3 linked regions of the Oreochromis niloticus genome follow. The protein of the gene in region 3 interacts with the protein of the main gene of each other region in a pairwise test. Links are inferred from orthologs where the notes say so. Each region holds a gene or a part of one and is shown on either strand. Other genes may lie near its edges. The genes, in order: hnrnpul1, ccnl1a and prpf40a.

Evidence for each region.
Region 1: the proteins of prpf40a (region 3) and hnrnpul1 interact in a two-hybrid assay, tested with the Homo sapiens proteins (2 studies listed by BioGRID and IntAct). The link is inferred for Oreochromis niloticus from reciprocal best matches to the Homo sapiens genes PRPF40A and HNRNPUL1.
Region 2: the proteins of prpf40a (region 3) and ccnl1a interact in binary tests that used the Homo sapiens proteins (3 or more experiments, as listed by UniProt). The link is inferred for Oreochromis niloticus from reciprocal best matches to the Homo sapiens genes PRPF40A and CCNL1.

The regions. Positions count from the first base shown.
Region 1 is NC_031979.2:33,502,705-33,510,311, reverse strand, and holds the start of hnrnpul1 (heterogeneous nuclear ribonucleoprotein U-like protein 1), read right to left. Parts: upstream 3,066-7,607; 5' UTR 2,908-3,065; intron 2,426-2,907; 5' UTR 2,384-2,425; coding exon 2,146-2,383; intron 1,927-2,145; coding exon 1,624-1,926; intron 1,299-1,623; coding exon 1,088-1,298; intron 989-1,087; coding exon 915-988; intron 605-914; coding exon 465-604; intron 14-464; coding exon 1-13. Other genes in the region: opa3 (optic atrophy 3 protein homolog), read right to left, coding at 3,941-4,269, 6,677-6,818.
Region 2 is NC_031979.2:14,102,177-14,109,299, forward strand, and holds the start of ccnl1a (cyclin-L1a), read right to left. Parts: upstream 3,012-7,123; 5' UTR 2,924-3,011; coding exon 2,684-2,923; intron 2,456-2,683; coding exon 2,381-2,455; intron 1,950-2,380; coding exon 1,840-1,949; intron 1,405-1,839; exon of another isoform or gene 1,342-1,404; coding exon of another isoform or gene 1,229-1,341; intron 1-1,228. UniProt on the Homo sapiens protein: Involved in pre-mRNA splicing. Functions in association with cyclin-dependent kinases (CDKs). Inhibited by the CDK-specific inhibitor CDKN1A/p21. May play a role in the regulation of RNA polymerase II (pol II).
Region 3 is NC_031987.2:14,575,006-14,582,620, forward strand, and holds the start of prpf40a (pre-mRNA-processing factor 40 homolog A), read right to left. Parts: upstream 3,042-7,615; 5' UTR 2,901-3,041; coding exon 2,898-2,900; intron 1,468-2,897; coding exon 1,387-1,467; intron 220-1,386; coding exon 76-219; intron 1-75.

The sequences.
Region 1 (7,607 bases), on a different chromosome or scaffold from region 3:
TTTCTTCATTGATCTTTAAAAAACAAAAAAGTCAAACACAAGTTTCTCTTACAGAGTAAGATTTCTGTTTGCCTAATACATATATATATATGTGTGTGTGTGTGTGTGTGTGTGTGTGTGTGTGTGTGTGTGTGTGAGAGAACCAGAAGGATTACTTGACATTAGTTAAAAAAAAAAAAAACAAAACCAAAACAAAAGTTAACTAGAGCTTCTATAAAAATGGTGTTTTCAACTACATTGGTTTAAAGGCCAACAGGGTAATGCTATTCTTACATTTGACGATAATGCTTGTTAATAGTAAAGTTTCCCCATCCACTATATCAATAATTAACACAAAGTTTTCATGTATCAGTAATCATTACACAACACCAAATTGGTAGCATTTCATAAAATAGGTCTGACCTCATCAGCACAAATGTCTAGTTTTAAAACTACTAAGCCTTTGGAGAAACGCATCCATCTACCTTCATCTCATAGCACACGCGTCCCTGGGTGACTCCATGAGTTGCTCGTGCCCCAGCCCAAAGGTAAGCAAAGCCTTCAATGGTCAGTGGATAACCACTGTAGCGATCTCGGGAAACTTTGAAGTGCAAATCACAATTGTCTGAAAACCAAAGAGTTAAGCACATTTAGATAAAACATCAAACACATCTATATCAGCCATAAGATGGTAGTCTACATCTAGTCCGCTTTTCTGCAGCTATAGTGTGCGCTCATGATCATTGTAGATTAGAGCAGAGCATACATATATCAAAATGTTACAGGTAATCCATCAACAAAAGCATGTAGTCAATAACTGACTCTTTGTCTGCTACAACAGTCCAACTTCCCATAGTCTCTGGTATTTATAAACAACCATAGACAGCACACTGATACTAGTTTTTTCACACACTATTTAAATGTACCATACTTACATGTATCAATTGTAACAAGAGTGTCGTCTATGTTCTCCTCTTCATCTTCAGCAGGAGGCTGTGGTGTTCGGGATCTGTATAATAACACCAGAGTATTTATTGTAGTACACTTTGTGTTATCCATTCCGAGTGTAGACAGTTGTGTTAACTTAGAAAACCATGTAGAAGTTCACCTCTTCTCCTCACGGTGCTCATAATAGCTGTAGCCCCTGTTCTCCTCATATGGCCTCTTACGTCCATAGTGTCCACCTCTCTCAGCTTCAGTTTTGACTTGCTCTGGCTGGCCCGCGGTATCTTCCCCATGCGGCTGTTCGTGCTGATTATCTTGTTGCCTTTCACCTGCACCCTCAGATTCATCTTCCATTTTGACCTCTACTTTAACTTCTATAATTAGACATGAACACACATAACACCTTTTAGCATGAAAACAAGTTCATGAAATTTTTCTACTAGGTATGAGAGCAGTTTGAGTGTTTGGTTTACATGTCTTTACTGTATTGCCAAAGTCCACAAGGAAAATTTTACACTACCTTTAGCATCATTTAGTTTAAGCAGATCACTGGGTCATTGTGCCACCTCTGCATGTCGGCAGTAAGTAACAGTAAAACGTTTGAATCTCTGAAAAGCGTTTCTATTCTCAACCAGTGCCATCAGAGATGAATACAAGACTATAAAAATCAACTGTGTAATAAAAGTAATGAAAAATTACCTTGTCTATTCTTTTCATTCTCCTCCTCTTCATTCTCCTCCTCCTCCACTTCCTTTGTTGCAGGCTTGGTCTCTTCCTCAGACATCATGTCAGTTTTCTGAATATCCTCATCTGCTGTGAAGTCAGGCACATTGTGGCCTGAGTCTGAAGGAGTCTGACTTTCATACGGGTTACCTTCTGCCTCCTCTTCTTCATAGTAACCACCTGAATCTCGGCCCTCATCTTCATCTTGAGGGGCATCACCTTCAGCTTCATCACCTTCAGCTTCATCACCACCACCATAGTCCTCAGCTGCTTCTGAATCTGGAAAGGTAAAATTTTAAACTTAGTTTAGGTGTTCTCTAGGTTGTAAAGTAAAGAGTTTGTTGACATTTCCCAACTTTGAAACTTTAATTTATACTCAAGCACAGTGAAGTGCTTAAAATGTAATGCCAGCAAAGGGCAGAAATTGGATCAAAGTCCAAAACAACGTAATAAAACTAGTTTCATGGAAGTGAAATGTTTAATGAAATAGTACTTTACCCTGCTGCTCTTGTGGATCCGTTTCATCTTCATTGTCTTGGTAGTCATCACCGTATTCCTCTTCCTGCTGCTGATCCCCTTTATCCTCTTGCTCACCAGCATCAGCCTTAGCTTCAGCCTCCAGAGCGGCTTTCAGCCTCTCTACGAGGTCTGCCTTCAGGCCTCTGGTGTCCAGGCCACGGCGCTGGAGCTCTTCTTTTAACTCATTGACTTTCAGTTTCTTCACGTCAACACTCATTGTGATTTTAGATGTCTACTCGGTGGCTGTTGTCTTTATTTGCTACAAAAAATGGGGGGGGGAATGGTCAGGTACTTCTAAAAACACTGCCTTATAACTTTCAAATGTTATCTGCTGCGCGGCACCGTGTCCACAGCCTGGCTGCGTTAGCCGTTTAGCTAAGCTAGCAACGCTGGACAGATTCTGTAAGACTAAAGAGTGTTCCACTACACGTCTGTGAACCATTAAACTCGTGTTTTATTGCAGCCGTTACCAATATAACCATTTGCAAGACAAAACTATCCCTAAAATAGATGCTAATGCTATTACTCGTCTGAAGATCTCGCTGAGCAGCTAACGTTCTTAGCCTAGCATTAGCTAACGTACCGACAGCCGCTGCAAGGGAAGAAACTTTAACTCAGACAATAAGCAAGCTGCAACCCATACTTTGTCTGCATGCAAGTCCAGGAGATAATGCACTGTGCACTCCGCTTATAGTTTAGAACTGAAACAGAATATATTTACGAAACAAGGTTGAGGCCTACCTCCTTTCACCCAAGTTGCGCGGGCAAGTCGTGTTAGAAGACTGAAAGAGTTGCTACCGCCCCCTGGCGCCACAAACCTGACCAAACTCAGAACCGGAAGTTAAGCAGAGCCGGTTGGTTGAATTTATTATTCTGCTGCAAATGTAAAACACTGGGATGCACTTCTTTGAGCTACCAAATAGCGCGAGTTTACCATTAACTAATTTGTACCATATAATCTTAGATGAAATCAAAGAGAACGATGTTTTGTATGTTACGCGTTAAGCACTTGGAGCGTTCCAAAGTAGGAAGTGTTACATTGACGTCATCTTGGGTACTGTAGTTTTACAGTAATGTGAAGAAACGCGGGACATCATCCACTCTGGAGGTGCTTTCAGTTTTTATTCGCTTGTTTCGTATTAAACATGACAAAAACGCTATCAACAGCCAGCATATCGTTTTATTTCAATTTTTTTTTTTTCCAATTGTCACCATACATCCAATTACAAACCAGCAATTACAACATGGAATTTTATGGACAGTACAGGGGCAGATTCTCTCAAAAACTAATCCACTGATATGAGCTGGTTTTGTTTTTTGGTGTTTATATTTTTTTTCCATTAATAGTAACTCATAATTAGTATTTAAAAAAAAAAAATCATATAATTCAGCATTTCCAAAGTGATTAAGGTCTACGAGGATCACTGAATTACAAAGAAAGGAATATGCTGAAGCTGTTAAAAATATATATGTATATATCAACTTTAAGGTCACCACTTTAGTTTTTATATACACTCAGTCAACTTTACAATGAACATGCAAGGTCAGCCAGTGAAATTCACTATGAATATCATAGCAATTCCCTTTTTTTTTTACAACTAGTTGCTCAGAACATGAGCAAATGACAGTACCCAAATCCACATTGCAGTGATATACTTATATCAACCTCTTCCACCCAGCTCAAAGCTATGAGGCTGTACATATACACGTGCACTCACTCCTTCACCCCACAACCCGACATTATGCCTTGCTGTATAGCAAACAACTAAATTTGTTACTTTTTGGTGGGAACAGGAAATGACAGCAGTTGCCTGTTGACCTCTCTCAGCTGCGCACTTAGAGTCTCTGTCGTTAGGGATAATTCTGCCAGTTGCGTCTGTAGGCTTATGAGGGTCTCGTTCAGCTCCTCCTCTTTACGGCGAGAGTTAGCCGCCTGCCTGCTGTACTCTAACACCATGCATCCACCACCAATGAGGAAGATGATTGCCTCCCCCAGTAACTCGGCGCCCAGCTCTGCTGCCGATTCCTCGTTCAGCGGCTTAATGGTGGCTCCCCTGAAGCCCATGATCCGCATCTTTGTTCTCATCTCAATCCAGTGATAAACTGTTGGAACAAGGAGCATACAGTATATAAGGAAAGAGTTGTTAGACTTTGAATATGTTTGGGTCCTGTTCACTTTTTCATTAAAAGGATCAGATAATCTGGTCAAAAGTTGTGAATACAGGAGAAACTGCATTTATGGTTTAAGATGCATGTCATCATTGCACTATAATTTATTATAATCTTCTACCCAGCTGAGATTCACGGTCTAGGCAGCACTATGTTTTCAGGAGGCTTTGTAACTTCAGGTGATGGACAATTGCAATCACTGAAATAATAATAAAGTAAAATGTATTTCAAGATGTTTTAGAGGAGAATTTCAGCCCAGCAGTCCATACCCTGAAGCACGGGAGAGGTTGTGTAATGCTATGTACAAGACAATAACCTAAAGGAGATCCACGACCTTAACCCTAGTGAGATGCTGTGGCTAAAAAGGGCCGTTCAACTAAAGCATCACATAAATCCTGAACTAAAACAGGTTTTGCTGGGAGTTGTCCAAAATTCTCCTTCATTGTTGTGCAACTCTTATAAGCAATTAAATAACATGCATACCAGAGACTGTGGCTGCTAAAAAGGTTTGTATGAGGAATTATATTTACATCTTCACTTACTGTTCTAGCTGCAACTGAACTTTTGTGCAATAAATAAAGACAACAAAGAAGTTGAAGAGTTTATCATTTTATGTAGGTTATATTTGTCTTCAATTGTGACATAGCCTCCTAGGACCCAGCAATTACTTTTTTATTCAGTGTCCTTTCTAGTGGACAGAAGACTTACTACCTCTCATTCTGCTACCACACTTCAGGAAGCAAAGAGTAGGATGAGGCAGACTGGATTTTATTGAGAACTGCAGAAGGGGAGTCAGTCTTATTGCCGTGAGGAGATGAGCTGGGGGAATGCCAGACATCAGAGCCGAAAGTTGAAAGCTCAGAGGAACACATTTCAGTTTTTGAGGAGCCTGGTTGAAATAGGGTTAAAAATTTTTTAGAATGAAAAGAGGACAACGCTGCACACAACCACCAAACAGGTGATCCTCTGATTAAATCAAACAGAAAACAATCTCAGTGCTCAAAAACCAGAAGGTGGTGGTCATCTCTGAAGGGAACGTAGCATTAATACCTTACTGAAATTGGGTTGAAATTGTTTTTAGCATAAAACATGAAAACAGGAAAGCACTGTCCAAAACCACTAAATCAGTGGTGCTCTTAATACATTACACAGAAATTAGGCAACCAGGTTTCTTTTTTCTTTTTTTTCAGGGCACAAACAAGAGGGAGATGCTCATTTTTGAATGTAGCATTAAAACTGAAACATTCTTCAGCATATCTGTGGTCACCACCTAACTTGGGATCCAAATTTACTGGTTAATAGTTCAAGATTCAGCAGTCCATCAAAGAGAAACATTTTCTTGATGTCAGTGATAAGTGGGAAAAGAATAAAGCCCCATGGAAAGTGAGAAGTCTCTTAAACAGAATGCAAGAAGGTTGCCATGTAAAGATGAATCCCTTCACACTCACGGGTGTCCTGTATGGCAACTGAGAGGCCAAATCCCTCAGAGCCTTAGCTTACATAATATTTCTTGTCCATAACAAATTTTGTGTGTTGTCATTTTGCCCCTGCTCAGACTCCTCAAAAGCTGGTGTACTTTCACCTTATTGCTCTAATGTCTTTCCCCCCTTCACCTCCTGACAGCTCTAAGTATGACTACACTTTCACAGTTTGGAGTAAAATCCTTTCTGCTTCACTCAGCCATCATATATGAAGATAAGACTACCTTTTAATAGTAATCAAACCTTTTATTGCATTTTATCTACTCGGTCAACAAATAATACCATGCCATTTTTTCCTCCAGCACCTTTTCATAAAAGCTCGATTTGATCCATTAATTTACTTAAAATTTTAACGAAAAAATTTTTTAATCTTTAACGAAAAACTGTAGCTTCTTTTTTATTTGTAGCCTTTTTTATTATCTGAAAATGAATGATGGAGAACACAATTACAAACACAACATGATATACACAGTAAGCTTTACTTGCCGCCTGCGAAGTATTCTAAATGACTAACACAAACAAGTCAGATATGCCTAAACAATAGAGCTCAGTGTCCACTTAGCATATTTCTGTCTAATTAAAGTCAGCGTCACATTCTGAATAGGGTGTTAGGACTACAGTTGTCCTGCCGTGCCCTCATTGCAAAGGCTAACACAACCTGTTCAATGACAGACAAGACCCGCCCTTTTAGAGCTTGCCTGGCTACTATTGGTCGAAGATATAAATTCTTAAAGATGATTGGATAACAGTCATTTCAGGTTCATTGTCATTGGTTGTTGCGGCTCTCCATGCTTATCAACCGTCAGAGGTGACTGGACTGAACTCTAAGCCATTAGCAGCCGTTAGCTCAAATTACTCACGCTGTGCCGGCGGCAGGCAAATGTAAGTTTTAAAGAACTCGCTCCTCCGGGCTCCAGCTTTTATCCGGTTAGCCACAGGCTTGCTCATTTGCCTCACTCCGAGGTAAAGGAGCTTGGCGATAGGGAAGGCACCGACAACCATCTTGGCGGAAACGCTTCTCAATGGGGCGGAGTGCGTAGAGGTTACGTGATGACGTTTATGATTGACAAGCCCAGTCACAAATCCGTCCACGTGTCCAAGTCTCGTGAAGTGAAACGCCCTGATTTCCTTACTTATTTGGTTATTTATTTATCGACGTATTTGTTTGTATTTGTTATCTTGTTTTGCTATTAGTTAGAACTCACTTAATGATAAACGTCCCGTCTTTCCCAATTTAAATAACAGCATTGATGTTTGACATTAATTTTCTCTTTAAAAATGAATTAAATAGGTAATTAATTAAATTAATAAAATGACAAACTACTTTTTACGTGGCATCATATTGCATTGCTGCATGTTAGATCATTTCCACACTGCACAACCATTATAAACTACAGTAAGATACTATTTTATGGTTTTATTTTTTTTTTAAATGAGAGAGACTGGTGTATCGGAAGTTATATGCTAATGTATGTAGGCCCAACGAATTAAAACACAGTTATGTCTTTTTAAAAATACATAATTGTGTTTGTAAAACAATAGTCTATTATTATACATGTAACGTAGGCTATATATGGTAGCATATATATGCATATATATATTTCACACAGTTCATAAACTGAAAAAATATATGTATTTCTATTTAAAAGTGAGGGTGTGAATAAAAAAAAAATCAACAGTTACCTGTCTGCGAGATACTAAATAATACGCAACTCCTCCCTCACAGATTATATACTTCACCTGGAACAGCTGTGGTAGAAACACCTGGCTCGGGTTACAGCAGTGAAGAAA
Region 2 (7,123 bases), on a different chromosome or scaffold from region 3:
AAAAAGACAGTGCCCTTCTGAATTCCTGCGCCCCTTCGTTTTTCCCATTTCAACCAACTTAAAGCAACAGTTAACTGTTTGCATGCCTGACAGTTTGCTGGGGTTTGTGGACTCCTGTGGTTCCAGTGAAAGCTTGTGAGATTCAAAGACAGCCCTCAACCCAAAAAACACACCCTGTGCCACAGCCTTAACAGAAATATCAACTTGGTGCTAACATCACTAATTCACTACAGATGTGTTGAACCTCAAGCTTAACGCTACTTTAAAATAAAAATGGAAAGCCACTATTACTGTACTCCGTCACAACTCATTCTCATCTATATTCTTATACTGTATGTCAGTATACTGCAAATTAACTGACCAAAACCATGGGCCAGAACCATCGTCTGGATGCAGACAATCCAGACTTGGAAGGAAAACACTCAGAGCAGGGATTTTTTTGGATCAAGTGACCCTTCACATACTGTACTGTCCCACAAAACATTCCACTGATGAAGACAAACTTGTGGAAAGAAAATCCACAACAAAATTTAAAAAAAACAAAACAAAAAAAACGAACGAACAAAACTGATACACCGTCTGCTCAAGTTGCCCGTCATCGTGCTCACAAGATGAATTAAAATCTGGAATGGAATTAAACCACAATGATTTGTGAGAGTCATTCATTATATAGCATGACCCCTGACAAACCAGTAAAATTCAATTTAAAGTTCAGAGTCTGCCATTCTAATGTCTCAAATATACTCTAATGTGAATGTTACACTACAAACCACATGCATGGTAAAAAGTGAAAACAAAAATAACCTCTGAGGACTAAAGACAATACAACAAGCACAAATCCCAACCCTAACATTACACCTCTTTTATATATACACCTCACAGCTACACTTAAGAAATGCAAAATCAAATTAACAGCATATAATGGCAAATTGTTGAAGCTAAAGAACATGCACTGACCCTCACTCAACAAAAACCGACAGACTCACAGTAACCAACTAATCATTCTAATTCTAACACACGAGATGATACTTCTTTAAAAGCCATGGTTGCAGCTGGTGGTGGATGGGGTGTTGCTCTTTAAGCACAATTAAAATGCATGGTGAGGAGCAGTCAGAGAAGAAAACTACATTACCCAAGGGTCCGCAGAATGACGGACAGATACCCAAAGCTTAAGACTGAACCACAGGAGTCCTCAAGGCGCCCCGGGGGCCAAGGACCTTCGGCCAACCTGTCATCCCCGATCCCAGTGCCCCGCGGTGGCTCAGACCACGGGAGTCTCCCGCAGGAGGGGGTGGGGTGGGCCTGGGGGAGGAGGGAGACCCCCCTCGCATCATGGTTCATGCCGACAGCTTCATCTTACGTACCATTCCACATCACCCAGGCTTTGGTAAATGTAGCTGGTCGCTGTTAGTTGGTTGCAAGGGAAAAAAGAAGTCAAGTTAATGCCAAAATCTGTAATATTGACATCAACAGATTTGTATGAAGACACAGGTACAGCTGCTTTGTCTGTGACTGTGTCTTACAAATAATAGACTTGAATTTTTGAAGCCAGTTGTTTGAGGCATTAATTTCAGTGCAATGTCAAACTGATGTTAAATGTAGACAATTACACTGCAAAACTACCAGTGAAGCGGAAACTGAAAAGTTTTAAAATGGTTTAGAGTACATGGATAAACAAAAGGGCACTTTCACAGCAAAAACACAGATCAGCATCAAACATTACATAATACAAAAATAAGAAAACAAAAACAGAATAAAAAAACATTGCAATGCAACATTTTTCACATATTAAATAATTATTTTCAAGAGGAGAACATTGGATTAATTTGGAGTGCTTACTTTTTTCCTCTGAGCTGCTTCAGGTGATGGAAAACATTAATGACATCTCGTATTCGCCGTGGTGCTTCTTCTATCTTGGAGGCCAAGTTGATGCAAGCCATGGCAACAATCTGGAAAATAAAATGATAAGCAAACAGGAATGTTTACTACAGGAAGCTGAGCTCAAGTTATCAGAACACAAACACGAAACCAAAAATAAAGACAACAATATAAGGCTATCCTGTTTTGTTGTGGGGGGTGATGTGTACTTTTCACATACCCTATCCTATCAATCCACTCTACAAACGTAATGATGTACTAAAACAAATGCTGACACTACAATAGTGCAAGTGTTTTAATGCAGTGCTATTGTGTACTTCGAGTCTGTGCTCAGTTTCGCACTCATAGGAGGTCCCACTTTATCGTTGAGTTCTTTAACTGGTGGAGTTAGACTCGACAATATGGCTGCCACTAACGTAGGTACAACGTTATGCAATGCTATGCTAACAATACCGGCCGACCAGCGGCCCGGCAACACTCCGGAAACTCTTAACACACTTACCTCGAAACTGTGCTTGACGAAGGACTTGGAGTAGAAAAAACGATGGAAAAGTACTTGAGCTGTTGCCATTGCGACCTGTCGAACGGGGGCGAAAAAAGAGCATGATAATTGTACTTCGTCTTGTGTAAACTGGCCTAACCTTGCACAATGGATCGCCGCCATTTTAATTCCACCACGCCAACGTCAAGAGCTAACATTTAGCACACCGCTGACAACTAGGCCGCAAAAACTACAAGCCACATTAACTTTCGCCTATTATTATCAAACACCCAGCACTAATGTAGTGCAGTCAAGAGCGCTTACCTGTGGCAACCGGAGGAGAATACCCGCTGACTGAATCAGCTCACAGCCAAGAATACGAAGGTCGGCCTCTGTGTTCAGGTCGAGGCCGTCGAACATCGACGGCGTCGTTGAGAGCCTTTCCTCCGGTACAAGCGAGTTGTCGATTGTAAGGTACACTTCTGAGTAAAATTTGTCGCCAATGAGAATCCCATCATTGTTAGTGGAGGCATTGGAAGATACAGAGAGAGGACCTGCGGCCATCTTCACCTGAAAAACAACGGTTAGCAGCTACAGCGAACACAGCCTCCACACGGTAACAGCGGAGCAGGGTGACTGGCGAAGTGCGTGACGTCAACATGCAGTTCAGATGGAAACGCTGTGTACATCCGCAGTGGTAAATAGTCTCGCAACATTGACTCGTTAAAATGTACAAGTGCACGTAACCTGAATGTATTTAAATATTCTAAATATATGTTACAAATATTTTAATAATAAGCAAAACAATTCACCTGGTATATAATGTTTCATTGCTTTCCGTTTTAAGCTACAGCAAACTCTTTGCTTCAATTTCACCTTTAAAATCCTGTGTCAAAATACTTCAGATAAACACCATAAACAATTTAATCCCGAAAACAAAATGTACTTGACGCATGACTCAAATCAGTTTTATTACTGGCACTACATTAACATTCACTGTAGCACTACTAGTGACAGTTTTCTACGTATTACTCATTAAACGTCACTGCCGGTAATGCCTGCTAAATTTCCGACGTCACCCAAAGGCAGCAGAAGAGAACACATCGCCACTGGTCGCCACCAACGGTTTCTGTGACGTGATTTACGGGAAAGTCCGGACTTGTCACTATTACCGCTAGAACATATCCATCCGCCAATTTAAAATAAAGGAAGAAAATATTAAAGAAATGTATTTTAAAAAGACCAGTTTAAATAATTCCGTTAATAAATAATTAATTGTTTGTTTGGTCTACTCACAGACTACGGGGAGTTGTTGTATTTCATCTTCAAAAAAACTCAGAAAATTAGGTAGAATGAATTGTGACTAACTGTTAAACTTAATTTTAAGACTTGCCTGGGGAGCAGTTTTGACTTTGCAATTCTGTATGCAGGTTTTATATCCCAAACATTAAAGTAAGATACAATTTCAAAATAAATCCTCAAAAAATTGACCAGAAGTGTTACCAAGATTGCTGTGAAGTGGCACTTACTTCCAGAAGGACTATGATCATGTCAAAGACGGCAACAACACAGTATTTAATGCGGGGAACACTTTGTTCAGTGACAGCTCAGCTCACAGGATTTTATTGCCTGAAGCCTTGTAGTTACCAAAAGCAGTCAGCAGAGGAAAGTAGAGACCCACCAGTTGCTACAAGAGAAGCTCTGCGGTTCCTCAGGTCATTCAGTTTATTCTGTGTGGACTTGCATGCTCATCATGCTCATCTTGTCCCCTTTCTCCTTCAACAAACCCACAGGCACTACAGTTAACTGATGACCAGAGTAAATGTCATAAAATGTTTCATCTTTACTCACAAATATGTCTTTGCTGGTTTACCTGTGGTTCTCTGCCAGTCTATGACACAAAGACTTTCAATGTAGCTTTTTTATTTTTTATTCCTGTAGTTTTATTGATCTTTTATTCCAAATGGGCAAAACATTGTGTTCACTTGTTTGAAGTGTGTAGTAGCTGCTGTTAGTTTGTACTGTTAGTTTTTGAGGTTGTAATCATCGTGGTGCCCTCTTGTACAGGCTGTCAGACTGTTTAATGTGAGCATTTGATGGAAATAAAACTACTACTTGTCTAATCTACCAAAAGTTAGTCAAATTAGTCAAAAATAAATGGATTAAATATAAAGTGCAGTTCTTAATCGATGATTTGTTTTATGAAGCTGGGGGGGAAAGCCATTAAAACCTACCTTGCCCTGTGTGAAAAGCTCCCTGCTCCCTCTTGTTAAATCATGGATTAACTGTAATTAAACAAGTTTTTTTTTAGAAAACTGAGTTAATTTCCTGAGCCACACCCAGGCCTGATAACTGCCAGACCTGTTGAATCAAGAAATCACTTAACCTGTCTGACAATGTGAAGCGGGCTAAAAGAGAAATGCATCGTGCCATGATCTAAACAAGTTCAAGAACAGCTGAAACACAAAATCATTGACATCTATCAGTATGAAAAGGGTTACAAAGCTATTTCTAAGCCATTATCCAAAAATGGAGAAAGACTGGAACAGTGGCGGACCTTCCCAGGAGTGGCCACCCCACCAAAATTATTCCAAAAGGGCATCAACTCATCCAGGAGGTTGCAAAAGAACCCAGAACAATATCTAAAGACCCACAGGCCTCACTTGTTACAGTTAAGGTCAGAGTTCATGAATCATAATAAGAAAGATCCATCCATCCATCAATTCTCTTTCGCTTATTCAGGCCAGGTGGTGGGAGCAACAGCCTAAGCAGAGAAGCCCAGACCTACCTCTCCCTACCCCCCTCAGGGTTATCCATGGGAACACCAAGGCGTTCCCAGGCCAGCCAAGAGATATCTCTTCAGTTGTCCTGGGTCTGCTCCGGGGCATCCTTCTGATGGGACATGCTGGGAACACCTCACCCAGAAGGCGCCCAGGAGGTACCCCTGTCAGATGCTCGAACCACCTCAACCGGCTGCTTTCAATGTTAAGGAATATTGGTAAGGGATGGGAAGTGATAAGAACTTAGCCATTCTGATTCTATGATCTATTTTACTTATTGATTCAATTCCTTATCAATTCTCTTAGCGATTCTTATTGGGTTCTCACTAGCTCCGCTCTGCGAGTTACCACCATTACCAAGCACCACATTACATTTATGCAAATTAATTGCATGTTGTGTGGTCTAATGTTGTGATCAGTGTTGAGTCATTACTCAAAAAAAGTAATTATTACACACATTACACATAACATTTTTATTACATTTTTATTACACATCACATCTATCACATCTTTCTCTTAGCATTTAGGTATGAACACAAAGCCAACAACACAAAACAAAGATGAAATTCAGCACAAATACACTTCAAAGTAATTGCAACAGTTATTCTAATGTAGAAACACAAGCAGGTAGAAATGAAGGCTGCAGCCTGACTGCTCATCCGCTTGCTACCGATGAAGTTCAGCAGCAGCTGGCCTCACCACAGCTCACAAATGACAAGGAGCCAGGCTTGGGGAGGGTGCCTGAGGTCAAGTGCCTGGTGACTGGGCCTTAGGCCATGGGGCCCTGCTGGTTACAGCCCAAAGAAGGGACATGGACTCACATTCCTGTAGGCCCACCACCCGCAGGGGGCACCATAGGGGTCGGGTTCAATGTGTGCCAGGCGGTGACCAAGGGTGGAGATCCTGGCAGACCGATACCCAGCTAACGAGAATAAGAAAGAGACTGGGCAAAAACAACACCCATAGAAGAATTCTTTGTCAAAAAAACATCTTGATGATCCCAAGACTTTTGGGAAAATATTCTGTGGACTGACGAGACAAAAGCCAAACTTTTTGGATGGTTTGAGTCCTGTTACATCTGACATAGAACTAACACAGCATTTCATGACATACCAGTAGTCAAACATGGTAGTGGTAGTGTGATGGTCTGAGACTGCTTTGTTGTTTGCCATAATTAATGGAACCATGGATACTGCAAAGAAGAGTGGGCCAAAATTCCTCCACAGCCTCATAAAAGACTCAGTGTCCATTATCACAAATGCTTGACTGCAGTTCTTGCTGCCAAGGTTGGCGCAACCAGTTAGTAGGTTTAGGGAGCAATTACATTTACACACAGGGCACCTATACCAGGTAACAGGTCATATGTTTAAACTCAGAGAAAAAAAAATGCAGACGTTAGCTGAACTGACAAGGAAATTATTGCCCAGGCTTAAAGTTTGATCCGTCCACGGTATCACAACCTGTCTGCGGGTCTGTGAAGCATCTACAGGACAGTCATAAATATTTACCCATGTCACACACCGCATGAAGTGACAGACTGAGGTGTCTCACCCCCCACCCTCCCACCCCAACACCTACAACTAGCACCTCCGGCCCCCAGCGCTTACGCAGTTGCCACCACGACAAGAATACAAGCATTCTTTCTCTGGTTGCCTTGGTGACACTAATTATGGGGTGTGGGAGGGCTCACGGGACGGCCGAATTCCGAAACGACCATATCGACGTAGGACAAAGGCGTTCAGGGACGCCCAGTGACGAACAAGGGCTTAGTTATACACACACGCCACTCCCTGGAGCGTGTGTGTGTTTACGAGGAACTTGCACAGATTCCCCAGAGACACGTGTGCATGCCTGCCCTGCTATGATAATTACCTTGCGGAGATCACACTCCCAGTGTGTGTGTGTGACATAAGTGAGTGTATGTACAAATGTTTGTGTGTAAGGACAAATCTGAGAGTTTAAGAGCGTCGTTTGTGTCAACTTT
Region 3 (7,615 bases):
TTCATAAGGCACAAAGAAAGAAAAGAGAAAAAAACCCCAACACAAACAAATCTATGAGGTTACTACAAAGCTCACCTGTCCCATTGGCGGTGCCCCCATTGGTGGCATTATACCCGGGGGAATTATACCAGGAGGCATTGGTGTCATGCTGGGAGGTCGCTGTCCCATAGGGGGCATTCCAATGGGAGGGAAATGAGGCGGTATTCCAGGTGGTCCCATCTTCATAAAAGAAGGAAGACAAAAACATTATATTGTAGTTAGAAGAAATAGTTTCTTAACCCTCTGAAATTACCTGGATCTCTGCAGTGTTCCACATAATATGCAATCTAACATTATTCTGAATCACAGTTAATTACACATAATGAGTAAGACCTAAAAGGGGGAAATGAAAGAAAGCAAGTGCAACTCTCTGCTCCTTCAAAGGCTAATTTAAGTTAGGTGTTCTAGCTGAAGAGATAAAATAGGGAGTGTGTGAACACTGGCTGCCACAGTGTGTGATGAACATGGTGGGGGAACTGTGCTTCAGTCACACTAACTTTCACAGGACCTTAGGAGAAACACTATACATGCGCTAAACTGGAAAGAGCAAAAAAAAAAAATCAAATCTACAGATGTGGAAGTTCTTTGAATCAAAGACAAACTGACTAAAAATTTGGGGATCTAGCAAGCGTTTTTTCAAAGTCTTCATTCCACACTTAGTGGTGAAAATTCCACCACAGACACAAATTTTGGCAACCTTTAAGTTACGTATGGGCGACACTTGTTGAACATGACACGCGAAACAAACGCAAGTGAAGAATGTATGATCAAGTTCACAGGAGGACGATTAATACGAAAATCAAAAGAATTGTGATTTATAGTAAATTTATTGTTTTAAATATATAGATGTTAATCATTACTGTGTGAGAGAGAACGTTTGTACAGTTTTGTTGAGATTGGGTCACCTATAAATACATAAATACGAGTAAGACTGTCAGGGTTTCTCCTGCACAGAAAAAATGTTTAAGCCTAAAAAAAATGCTCTCCGTTTCTACCTGTACCTAGACATGGGCCCAATGAGCCCAATATGCAATATTGGAAATCTGCAGAAATGTGTGCAAGTTGATAAAATCAATGTCTGGAAAGGTCCTTTCTTTCTTTCCTTAAAAAAAGAGGAAAAAAAGGGAGTTTGTATCATTATTTAAGCAGCTATTGGAAACAATTTTTGTAAGATGTTGCTGCTGTTATAGGAAGCAAGAGTTTACTGATATTCTTGCCTAAGTAATTTATTCATATAATTGCCTATTATTCTAACTTTAACCCCCAGCAAATTTATAAGTAATCAATGCAGAAATTCAAAGGATGTTCTTTTAGATCTGTAAACAAAACTGCATTTTGATGACTTACAAATGGGGGAGGTATCGCCGCGGGCGGTACACCTGGATAAGGTGGTGCTTGGCTCGGCCCATTATTAGCTTCCGATGAAGACTGTGAGGAGTAAGAAACACCACACAGAGTTAGTGAACTCCCAACAGCCAGTTCTGCAGTTAGCAGTGTGCTTCAATCATGAAAACTACCATTTCTCCAGATATGTGTTTAATTGTGAAATTAAGTAGTTTACAGTTAATAAATCACTCTAAATAACTCCTTACTCTTCTTTTGGCTGCTCCCAAATAAACAATGTGGATCATAAAGCATTTTTAAATAACCCCCCTCCATTTTTAAATGCACATAAAAAGTAAAGTAATGGCTATATTGCGCATTTCAATTAGTGCAGTTACATGAAACCGCAACGAGTGCGTGAATATTTGGTTTGAAAGTTTAAATGAGGTAGTACTAATCGGGGTGTCAGTAATCAAAACATTATATGAAATCGGTTTGAATTTGACATATATAAAGCTTACAATGTCGAAAGACAAAAGACTAGAAAAATTACACAATCCTCATTTGGGGACAAATTACCAAGCAGTTGGTTTATTTAAAAAACGTATTTATTTAGGATGAAACGGTGCCTACCTTAATCTCTACCTTTTGAACAAGTGCTTCCTTTTTCTTTTTACATAACTAATATTCAAAAGGACTTCCGGCTTATTCAGAATGAATGAGGGTCCTCTAATACATACATATGGTACAGGCAAACACATGAATTTACCTATATCCTGGGTAACAACAAATTAATGCGTGAAGCTTTAACATTTTTTGTACCTGAATAATAAACCATAAGGAATGCCTTGTAGTTTAACCAGACAGCATATTATCATGAAATAGCATAGTAGTGACTGTTTACGATGATCATCATGTGAAATATGGTCTATTCAAGTCCACTCATTTGGGTGCATGAGTGGGATATTCTATTTTACTACCACGAAATTACTACTTTTAACAGATAAAGTTCACTTAATTCCTGACTTAATCTGACCAGTAACGTTGTCTGTGCTAATGTAAATTATGTGGACTGGTAACAATCGTAAAAATCTGAAATAACTGCTGCTGTTTGTGATGAATGACTACAGGCTCCGTCTAATCTCTGGAAATGAATCGTAAAAAGCCAACGCAAGAGTTCAACTGATTAATCATTCAACTAGCCAAATACACTTTCACCACCGTAATTTTACTTCACGAATATCGTAACACGTTTTGCTGTTTTTACACATTAACAAAGCAAAGGGCGTGCTATATCCAAAAAAGCTTCAGCTAAAGGAAACCGTTTATAACACGAAGGTAGGCACATACCGCTTTATTAGCCTACTGCTAACAAGACATGCTAACCCGTGGTCTTTGATACACAGCATTGTTACGGTATAGTTTACAGAAGAAGATGGCTGCTATCCAGGCCTTAAAAATTCATACACCAAGTCTAAACAGTTTTTGTCTTTTTCGTTACCGCTATAAACTATTTTTTGAACGCCTGCACTCACCATGTTGAAGAGAAGAACCTCCGAGAAATTTGAGCACTTCTCAACAACAAGCAAAACGATTGGTTGAGCTTCCGCCTAGCGCTCAGAGGTCAAAGGTAACAATTCTGTAGCGTCATTCTGCGTTGGAAATGCGCACCAATGCGCAACACCACCGTTTCCTCCAAAAGAAACTAGCGTGTTAACCAAGGAAGAAACAGCGATGGAAAAAAGTCCACTTTAAGTCAATACGCAATAGTCAAACTTAAACATAAAATTATATGTTTCTTGATATTAAATAGCTTAAACTAAAAATAGCCCTGCAGCTGCATGAATGAATGAATGAATAAATAAATAAACAAATTCTATTTTCTATTATGAAATTTAATTTATGCCATAAAATATATGCAAATATAGAGAAAGCCACATATACTTATAACTTGTCTCATTAATACGATATATGCTGTGCAACAGTCTTGAGCCAATCCTCATTTCTTTATATTTTGAAAGGGAGAATGGGCAATAGGTGCAACAATTTATTGAAATCTGCGTAAAAGTACATGGAAATAAAAAAAATATAAGGCAAAAACAGAGATTGAATAATTCTAACAGGCTTGAAAATCAATATTTGGTTTGACTCAACAGAGCCTGAAATCTCTTAGGCAAGCTATCTTGTAATTTCTTCAGGAAGGTCTTCATGAACAGTTATCCAGGCTTCTTGAGGGACATTCAAAGTTCTTCTTTGGATGCTGGTTGCCTTTTGTTCTGTTATCTGTCAGGATGATCCCACATTGCTTCAATTATGTTAAGGTCGAGGCTCTGGGGAGGCCAATCCATGATTGACAGTATTCAACTTTCAACTGCTTATCAAACCTGATAAGAAGATTAATGCATATTACTGATCAATTAGTTTATTTTTCATGTGTTGAAGCCTGGCATTGCTTTCAGTGATGGGATGGAGATAGTTGCTCAGTAATAAGAAAACAACATTCCATCCTTGCTTACACCTTCAACAACCATTTTTCAGTCCCTGTGATGGTGCATATGTAAATAAAGTTTCGATCTAGTTGGTTGTACAGAAGAGGAAAAACCACAAATGGATTAATGTTTGTTTGTTTGTTTTTTTCACGTGGCAGGTAATTTCAAGTGCAACTTTTCAAACAGCACAATAAATATGACAAATATGTATATGCGTACATTTGTATATTTAGTTAGCATACACATGTTCAGATAAACCATTTCTCTGCAGATTGTCACAAAATGCGTCTGCTAGCTAAATGTATATTTGTGTAAATGTGCCACACTGATAAAAGGAGAACAAAAAGAAAAAAGAAGAAGAAGACAAGAAAGATGAAGATATGAGATTATTTTTAAAGAAAAGGACTGCTCAGTAAGTAAATGAAATTTTATAAACCAGAAATGTAAATCTTTCCTAATTTCCTAATTCATTTTAGCATTTTTAAATCAGTTGTTGGATCTTACCTAGAGACATTTATGCTAGGTTGCACAAAAATACCAGGCAGTTTCATACAGTTAACGAGAGGTTAGTGCTTATTAGATTAAACTTCTTTAACTGCAAACTAACCAGTGTGAAGATTATGCTGGTTGGTTTGCAGTACTGTCCTGAAGTTTACAGCCATGACACTGTTGGTCTGGTGCAGAGCAACATGTGCCGTTCATGGTCAATGTTAGGATTTACATCAAGGGTAGCAGGCATCAGTTTATATTCACATTTATATTCACTCACCAAATTCTATCATTTAGCTCATGAAACATCTGCTTATATCTTGGTGAATTCAGTTGGCTAAATCCTCGAAGAGCAGGGAACATCAGAGTAGCACCACAGGTCATTCTAACACTTGTAATGAAAAATTGTACTAGCCTGTGCAAAATGAAAAATCTGCTGGAGCTTGAATATTTTTTTCCCTTTCCCTTTTTGTACTGGTACACCTGATCTTAGGGGTCTTTAGCCCCTGTATGCCTGATTCGAAAAGAACTGGAAGAAGAGATTCCAAAGAAGAGCTTTGGAAAGTCCTTCAAAAAGCCTGTAAAATAATTTGTGATGACTACTTACAGGAAGTAACAAAAAGCTTGTTTAAGAGAGCTCAGCCTGTTTTAAAGAATAAAGGTGGTCATACAAAAACTTTTGCACATTACTCTAAACAAATTAAAACACAGATGACATAAATTATTCTGTTGTTGATACAAATGTTTTCACAGAGCCTTAAATAATTAGGAACGTCTGGTAAAAGGTAATTGTCATTATGGCACTAATTTATGAACTGTTAAATCCTTATTTTTAACTTTTAGTGTTCGTGAATGAATACCGATCAGGTTGCTCTTTACACCGTAACAGAGAGTGATTCCCTTTTTTATTTTTGATGTTATAACAGGTACCTATTTCAGAAGCTGAGGTAGCTGGTGTTCAGACACAGCAAAATTACCTCGGTGTATTGGGGATCATTTGAAGGACCGGCTGTGATTTTCCAATTATTGGCTTCTGTGACACAGCTCTCAGGCCTCTGTGGTGCTGCAAAGACTCCCCATGACAGCGGAAATTATAAAGCAGTCAGTCTACACAGTTTACCTTTAAGTGTCTTTCACATGGCTGCAGCACTCACTCTTTCTCCTTTCCTTCTTGCTTCTGCATTCCGGTCATATATTTTCCACACAAAACAAGGTTAAGGAGTAGCTCACCCATTAAGGTGTTTATTCAAACAGAAAATTAGTTTGATGGCCTAATGAACATGTTTTCATTTATTGCTGTTCTTGCTCTGCAGATGGCCTGGACTCTATATTAAGGGTTTTGAACAATCAGATCCGTGCGTGCGTGTTCAGATCTTTTCAAAACGAAAAATCGATTATACAGGTATACGCGATGTCCGGTTTATCTCTATGCCTGTCAGTGCAGTTGTTTACCGGAGCTGTCCCTGGGATTTAGAGTGCTACTGAGGTGTGAAGCATGCAACAAAGAGTTGGAAAACAGATGAGCCCTCACTTGAGGCAGACTGCAATAAACTCTGATGCATTTCCTGACAAGCGCAGGAGAATTCCCTATCGATTATCTTAACAAGCTAAAAACAAAAAAAAAGTCAGTGACAGTGAGGGGCAGAGATGGATCAGTCTAATGATGGGAGTCAGTCAACCACAGTGCATCAAACATGAACAAAAAAACAGCCATGAGTCACCATCACTTGTACATAGCTGCTTTGACAAACTGATTTATTTTTTATGAATAAAGACATATTATATTTAAAATCCTTGAGAATGCTATGATGTTTCTAAACTAGTTTCCACTCTTCAGTCCTATACGCTGTATTTTTATGCGCATTGGTGTTCCATAGTTTCACTGTTTGCCAGAACCTCATTCTTGTGTTTGTGTTTGTGTGTGTGTGTGTGTGTGTGTCTGTCTGTCTGTTTGTTTGTGATTGATTCACAATATTTGATGTGGTCAATGTTTGCTTCTGGCCATTTTACCCAGTGAGCTTTGAGCCCAGCCTGCTGCTGACCTGCCTTGCAGGCACTCTTCTCTCATCTGACAATTGGCTTCCTGTCAACCATAGTCACATTAACTATCAACAAAACACACTATTACAATTCCAGCTTGCTTTTCCATTTCCTCTCATAAAATAAAGGAGCAGAAGAAGCTTTGTTAAGATTTGTTTTTTCTTCTCTCAGTTGCACAGATTTTACAAAGAAAAAACAATTTTGGGTTGTAGACGCATATTAATGGATTTTTTTATGGTTTATTTTAACCGGCTCTTTTTAGTTAAGATTTTTTTTATGTTCACATTGGCCTCCAGTTATTTCTTTGACAATCAAAGGCATGCCGCTTAACCAAAGCTCTTGTGGGTTTTTTTATGTTTCTTGAGAAAATATTTTTTTTCTTTCTAAAAGCCTTTTTAACCTGTGGGTGATTACTGAGCCACATAATCAATGAAATCATGACCTCTCAGCCCTGCTCTTAAAAAAAAAAGTCAAACATGACATATGACATTCATGCTATATGCTGCCTGGTTTATCCGTGACTTTACATTGTACTGCTTCTAGCAATTCAAGAGATTGCAAATTAGAGATGTAATTTTTCTCACCCCGTGTTCTGCAGAGAAAATTTATTGCAGGAGTTGAAAAACTATTTTTGGCAAGATTCTTGGCTGGGGTGCAATTATCTCACACGACACAAATCTGTTGATTGCTGAGCACCAGCTAGTCACAGTCTCTGCTTCTGAAAGAGTTGCTGATTTCACAGATATCAATCATTTTGGTCAAATGGTCTGTTTCTTTCCCTTTGCAATGCCACCCACACGCATGCGTTCGTCGCTTTCTCAGACAGAAATGACAGAAAACCTATGACCACGGCATCAGGGCAAAGCAGAGGAAAGTAAGCAGGCATCTCATTGAATGTCACAGTAAATGTCAGACACTGTACTTGGTGTTATTTGTACACTTTTTAGACTTCACTTAGAAAATCTCTGAAAGATTAGTCTATAGAGTAAAGAGACAACTCGAAAAAGTTGACTGTCTGAGTTGTTGAAATACCACTATTTGTTTGAAAGCAAACGTGTGCATACAACACGTTCACACTGTCTCATCTGCACCCCTGCATGGGTGATCTAATATGTTAACCAACACTGATATATATATATATATATATATATATATATATATATATATATATATATATATATATATATATATAACACCCAGCACGCCCCTGCGGGCGGTTTATCCTTCAAGCTCGG